Macaca mulatta: one gene and its partner. The protein of the gene in region 1 purifies or fractionates together with the protein of each later gene. This does not show direct contact. Links are inferred from orthologs where the notes say so. Each region holds a gene or a part of one and is shown on either strand. Other genes may lie near its edges.

Region 1 (2,478 bases):
TCTGTGGGCTGCCAGGGGAAGGGGTCTGGGAGAGAGAGGCAGGTCTGTGAGTGGCACAAGGGCTGGAGAGAGGTGAGGAGCCTGGACTCATGGCCTGGAAGGGGAAGACAGGGAAGATGCTTGCCACCGGTTGTGCTGGTGCCACAGGGGTTGGGTGCTATTGGGACAAAAAATGAAGCCTGTGGCCAAGAGGCCCCCACTCTCTTCTCAGCATTGCCACTGGGGAACTGAACCTTGCGCTTGTGGCCAACAAGTGCCAGGTCTAGGCCAGAGGAGAGTTCCATAAAACCAGAGCTAGGCAGCAGGCGTTGGCAAGCAGGGTTCCTAGACACCAGTGTCTCTGGGGTGTCCATAAACACATCAACTAATCCCCTCAGGTCCTGGCAGGTTGCTATAGGTTCAGGTACCTCACCAGTCCCTGCACGTTCAGCTGGTGCCTGCGTGCTGTTCACTGTCCCATCCTGCTTTGGGACACCTGACACCTGGCAGCTGTCTTCCTTCCTTATCCTGGGAGATGCTGCCCTGGGATGGGAGGGCTGGCGGGGGTGCAGAGTCTTAGGACAGAGAGGGTCACAGTCAGAAGCTGGGGAACCTGACCACCTGTTGAGACAGAAACACCCAGTGAGCTGCAGGTTTCAACTTCACAGCAGGCCTGGGCCAGGGCTGAGGGCACAGGGAGAGCCGCCACAGCTGGCGGTTCATGTGCCGAGATGGCTGCCTTCTCTGAGGCCCTGTGTGAAAGTCCTCCTGTTTGGGTCTGAACCTGCCGCAGCAGTTAGCACTGTGTGCACTTCTCTTGGCTCTGTGGCCTGTGGTTGGGGCTGGCCAGAGGAATACGTTAGAGGCTATTCCATTTCATGACTTCACAGAGGAGGCTGTGCCCTTTGGCAGCTGAAGAAAGCAGTGCAGTTCCTGGCTGTGTGAGTTGAGCTTGAGGTGGAGATTTGGGGTGAGAGGTGAAGCCATAGCTCCAGATGGGAGAGGGTCTGCCTTGCTGGCAGCAAGGGGAAGCGGAGCTCAGAGGGCCCTGGAATTCCCACCAAACCCCATGCAGTCCTTCCTTCTGGTGGTGACTTCTACAGAGGGAGAAAGACTTTACTCTTCACCTATCTAGGAGAGGCCCGAGAACTACCCCCCTGCTCCCTGGCCGGAATTGCTTATCATCCACATCAAAGCCCGTGGGGTAGGAAGGGAGCCACAGTCTGGTCTGGGTCTAGTCTTCATCAACTGAGGCCACAAATGGAGGTCTTTTAATTTTTTTTTGGCCACCCCCAAAACAAACAGGACTGAGGATGAGGGGAAAGGAAGGTGAGAAAAGAGGAAAACATCACAGTCTGGTCCCAGCAGCCACCAACCTGAGGGTCTCTTCCCACCCAGAGGGCAACAGAGGAGAGTGCAGACGCAGTTATGCCTGCCAGCATGGCACTCACCTGGGGAGGCCGGCCTGGAAAGGGATGTCTACAAAGCTGTGGCTGAGCTGGGCAATGATCCTGTCCACTTCTGCATATGGATGGGCTTCTAGGGCAAAGCCCTGGTGCTGGGCACTCTGAAGATGCTGCCGGGGGGCGAGAGGAGGACAGGGCATTACATGAGGCCTGGGGGGAGGGGGACATGGAAGCTGACCTCCCAGCCCATGCTATGGCCCTGGAGGACACAGCCACAGCAGCGTGGAGATTGCACAGGAAGGACTCATCCCCAGTGAGCAGGATCCCTCAAGGCACTCTGGGAGCAGCTGCTTAGCGGGGAAGGGGCTCACCACATGGAGCTCCTCGAAGGCCTCTTGGCAGCACTCGCAGTAGCCTTTCTTCCTCCTGGGCATGGTGCGGGCAGCTGATCGCAGGCTTGGCTCTCCATCCTTGGATTCTCTGGGGAGGGTACATAGTGCAGCAAAGTGGTTACTGCTGGGTCCCTTGGGGGAGGAGCCACTACTTAGGGCCTGGAGCCTAGGTCAAGGAGGGGAAGGACTGAGACGGCCAAGGGGCTGGGCAGGCACCAGAAGGTGGGCCTTCCCTGAGCTTGGTACCAATCATCTAAGAACGGCAAGAGAGGAACAAGGAAGAAGACATCTGGAGACCTCCCTGTGGGCAGCCTGTCTTATCTCTGTCCTTCTCTTTTTTTTTTAGACAGAGTCTAGCTTAGTCACCCAGGCTGGAGTGCATTGGTGTGATCTCGGCTCACCGCAACCTTTCGCCTCCTGGGCTCAAGCCATTCTCCTGCCTCAGCCTCCCGAATAGCTGGGATTACAGGCACACACCACCACGCCCAGCTAATTTTTGTATTTTCAGTATAGATAGGGTTTCACCATGTTGGCCAGGCTGGTCTCGAACTCCTGACCTCAGGTGATCTGCCTGCCTTGGCCTCCCAAAGTGCTTGGATTATAGGCGTGAGCCACCGCTCCCGGCCATCTCCGTCCTCTTAAACCACAAGTGAGGATGGGGTGGTTATAGCAGCAGCAAGAATCCCTTGTAGGAATTCCAA
Region 2 (4,440 bases), on another chromosome or scaffold:
GAAAAATGTTATAAAAAATCTTACAAATATCTCAAAATAAAGAGACATGCTATTCATCCATTACACTAAGTATTTTACTTTATATCCTTACATTAAATCATTCATTCAAATATTTTCAAGCACCTACTATGTGCTGGACACTGTTAAGCTCTGGGAATGCAAAGATATATAAAACATCCAATCAAAAATATAACTTCAATAAGGAGTAAAGCTGATAAGGTACAGGGATATACCTGTCTTATGATCTAATTTGATTTACTTTCCCAATTAGATTACGAGACTGTTACGTGCCTGGACCTCATCAGCTTTACTCCCCATTGAAGTTATGTTTATATAATTTTAGCTGTTATTAAGGATCATATTTTAAAAAGAGCTGCAAGAGTAAAGTTTTAGCATGTTTTACAATTTATCGTATTATTTATAATGTCCAATATTCTGTTACATAAACGCTACAAAACTTTTGAAATCTGGAATAAAATTCACCCCATTCTTTACTTCCCAGCAGATTTTCAGAATATTAGAATAGTGGCATTCTCCTAAACAAGATGCCAGAACCAAGTCAGAGTCATCCATTCAGATACTCTGCTGAAGTCACAACATACTTCAGAAGCCAGAGGAGATACTGCCACCAAGGGGCTTACAGTGGAGACAAAATGCAGAATCCTAAGCGATAGAAAAAGAATACTACAATGACTGTGTTACTGTGTTATGTGTCCAATGACTAGTAAGGGAAAGATGAACTAAAAAAACAGCTAACTGCTGGAAAAATGGAAAGGAAGAGGAACAGTATCCACGAAACTGGATGAAAGTGGCATTTTAAGATTATTCTAGCACCAACGTACCAGATGAACTGAAGGATGGAAAAGTGCAAGCAGGCAGCATAGGTGAGAAACTGTTGTAAATCAGGAACAAAGTGTAAGGAAATGAATTAATGTGGTGGAAATGGGAATGGAAAGAAGACACAATGCCATACCTATTAAAAAGAGATAAAGCTAGGTGACGATATGGGGAACAAATAAAAAGCATCAGCTGAAGATTAAAGTTTCAAGTTTAGGTAACTGGGATAAATGACTTCCATCAAAGCAGAAAGTATGTGATGTCATATTTTTCTAGGGTGGGGTTATAAAGAATATATGGACAAAAGGTCAAAATAAGTATCTTTTGGACAAGCACAGAATTCACTTCAGACAAAGATGGAAAAGATCTGGCTACCCTTTCAGGAAAACAAATACAGTCAACTAGAATTCCTCTATTTAACAAATATTTATTATTAATAAATACCTACTATGTCCCAGGTCCTGTGCCAGAGCAGAAATGAAAGCACACATGCGAGTGTACAAAAGCACGCACTGCTTGACCCTGTCCTCTTCACCCCAAGGTCTGGTTTACGGCCAAACAACATTTCATGCTCTACACTGAGATATGGTGCTTTATTATTGCTACAAACATTTCATATTTTTTTCTCTGTGAGTTCTGCTTTTGAATACTTAAGTGATGATCTCCAGTGTCAATTTCTAAATTTAAGCTTAAGGCAATGTGGTGAGTAGAGACAAGAACACAGGTAGAGAAGAGAAATTTAATTTGGGCATCATCAAACTTCTGCATTCTTAGTTACCAATATTGATGACCATAACAACTTCAACCGTAAAACGGGTTGTATTACAGTCTTCCAAATTGCAATTCAGTCCTACATTTAGATCGTATGAAGCTCTGTTTTAAAACACTGTCCTACAGAAACACACAACTCACTTTAAGATTCAATCTACTTATTTTTTGAGAGCAACTGAAAACACAGAATTGTTGCCTGAAAAATCTCTGCAACTGTACATCTTTGGAATTAAACACATACCTGCAAGTTTAAAATTCTGCTCGTTTTTTTTTAGAGAGCCTTCAGCCTGAGACCGGTCACGCTGGGGAGAAAAAGCCATTGGCTCATCCATTTGAATCCCCAAAGACGCCTCCATCACAAGACAATTGGGATGCAAAATGCCAGCTAAGGGGTTACATCCACAGGGAAAGCAAAGCAGCTGTAAAAATTAGAACACTGGAGAAGTTTAGATCACTCGCTAAACCACGCACTAAAAACATGCCACTGCCCCCAAAGGGGCAAACATTTTCAAATGCACCATGTGTCCAAACCTCCACAGTAGGGCATACTGTGGCCTTTTCTAAGGAATTCCATGTGCTTTATTTTCACCTATCAGAAACGCCGGCAGGGGGCTGCAGGGAGAATTTCCCGGCTTGGGTACCCGCGCAGCAGCCGGCGCAGTGGGAAACGGCGAGGCTGCGAGTCCGGCGTAGCCTGCGGGACCGCGTGGGGGAGGGGCCGAGCGCCGGGGGCGGTTTGAAGTCAGGAAAAGGACAGAGGGAGAAAACCGTTTCGCCACTGACAGGGAGCGCCAGGAAGCTCGTCCAAGGCCCCACGCAAGTTGATGGAGAACTGATACGACCCTGGCTACGAGTACTGGGCGGAGGAGGAGATGGCTTAATGAATGGGAATCCTCCGACCAGCCCTGGCCGCGAGGTCAGCCGGAAAAGACCGGCTTCCCTCGGGCCAGAGACCGAACCAGATGCTTAGTACGCAGGCGCGCGACTTTCCCGCCGCAGGTCGGAGGGATCCGAAGGGGGGCGGGGAAAGGAACTGCACGGCGAGAAAACCGAAGTCACCATCCAGAATTCGTTCCTAATCCCTCACAATCCCGCGCCACGGAACAAACCGTCTGAAACTCACGGTTTAAGGGAGTACGACTTCTGGGGCTCCCCAGATGCCTGGGTCGCCGTCTCCAAGAGCTCCCCACCTACCGAGTGGATCGGATGCGCCTGCGCAACACTTCCCGCCGCAGCTCTCGTTGCACATGCGCACACTAAAGCCCTCGACCCAGCGGATTCCGCTACTGGGCGCTTGCGCAAGAGGCTGGGATTTCTTCCCGCCCCCTTGGCCAGCTGGAAGAGCGGTTACGGGAATGAAACCCCGGGATGATCTTAAAAAACAGGGTGAACCATAAGGCTAAGGGCCCAACATGATTTCCAGGAAAGAAACTAGCTCAGAGAAGGAAACACCTCAGGTGCTGACACATCCCTATATACCGTGGCCGCACAACACTTGGGTACTCCATGGATAGAAGGCACTTTCTTGACTCTCCTTTTATTTCCTTTTCATTGAGTGCCCTACTTTACGTTAAAAACAAGCAGAAAATGCTGATTATTTGTGACTGTGTTAGTAGAAATTAGCACAGTGGCAGGAAGGCAGTGTATACTGTTTACTGAGTCCTTGGCTCTGAGGTAGGCGGATTTCTAGGGGCTGAAATCATAGTGAGCAAGACAAACACCATCCCTGTAGGAAGCTAAATTCCAATGAAGCGATGACAATAACGGATGAATACATGAACAGTATTCTTTCCGGTATTGATTACTACTTGAAGGAAATAAAATGAAAAGATGTGATAGTACCTAGAAAGGTGGCATCTAGATGGTCAGGGAAGCCCTCTCAAAGAGACCTGGATGAGAAAGAGCTGGCAGGGAGACTACTGTTCTGGCAAAGAAAGGACAGGGCAAATGCAGAGAGAAAGGAACTTGGTATGTTGCAGGGGCAGGGCAGGAAAGGCCAGTGTGGGGGAAGCATAGTGAGTGAGCGGCAAGATAGTCCCAGATAGATGAGGGTGGAGAGTTAGGCAGAAGCCAGACCGTGGTCCTTGAAAGCCAGGGTAAGAAGTTTGGCTTTTATTTTGAGTACAATAGGAAGCTATTTGAAAGTTTTAAAGCAAGGGAGTGATACGATCTATGTGTTATGAAGAGAATGGATTATAGAGGGGCAAATGTGGAAGCAGAGGAAATAGGATGCACTTCATGTTTAGGAGAAAGATAATGGTAGTTTGGACCAGAACAATGGCGGAAGAAATAAAAGAAAGAAGACAATGGGATTTGGTGATTGGCTGTGGAAAATTAAGAAAAGGGCATCATCAAGAGTGAATCTTAGGTTTTGGGGCTAGCATATGTGTGGGTGGTAGTGCCACAGAGAAGGGAAGTCTGTGAGGTAATGGGTTTTGATTGAGTGAGGTGGAAGAGAGTAAATCAAGAATTCTAGTGTGGATACTGAGAAAGAGAAAAGCAGACCGTGACATCCAGGAGATGGCCTGGTACTACCAGCTTGGCTTGCCGTTGCTTTGAGCTGGCCTGGCAATCAAAGCTAAGCATTTTTATTCTTCTGTTGAACATAAACAATTTCACAGAACATCAAGACAAGACAGAGTTTGACCATGATAGATCAAGACAAAAGTAAGATCACTCTGTAATCATACCTGAACATAGACAAAACATCAACATTGCCCAAGCCATACAAATGATCAAATATCTCCTTATCCTGGCTAATACGAGCGCCTGCTGCTTCTTTACCAATTATAGTTTTAGCCTCAGTCTAGCCTTCCTTCCTTCTACATAATA

Evidence for each region.
Region 2: the proteins of DBF4B (region 1) and CDC7 purify together in Homo sapiens (affinity purification with mass spectrometry; 3 studies listed by BioGRID and IntAct, counting the BioPlex papers as one, with this or other methods). This does not show direct contact. The link is inferred for Macaca mulatta from reciprocal best matches to the Homo sapiens genes DBF4B and CDC7.

Annotation. Positions count from the first base shown.
Region 1 is NC_133421.1:69,119,866-69,122,343, reverse strand, and holds part of DBF4B (protein DBF4 homolog B), read right to left. Parts: intron 1,866-2,478; coding exon 1,757-1,865; intron 1,556-1,756; coding exon 1,431-1,555; intron 1,077-1,430; coding exon of another isoform or gene 839-1,076; exon of another isoform or gene 601-838; coding exon 1-600. UniProt on the Homo sapiens protein: Regulatory subunit for CDC7 which activates its kinase activity thereby playing a central role in DNA replication and cell proliferation. Required for progression of S and M phases.
Region 2 is NC_133406.1:148,808,995-148,813,434, forward strand, and holds the start of CDC7 (cell division cycle 7-related protein kinase), read right to left. Parts: upstream 2,830-4,440; 5' UTR 2,803-2,829; exon of another isoform or gene 2,732-2,802; intron 2,028-2,731; exon of another isoform or gene 1,994-2,027; 5' UTR 1,965-1,993; coding exon 1,850-1,964; intron 1-1,849. UniProt on the Homo sapiens protein: Kinase involved in initiation of DNA replication. Phosphorylates critical substrates that regulate the G1/S phase transition and initiation of DNA replication, such as MCM proteins and CLASPIN.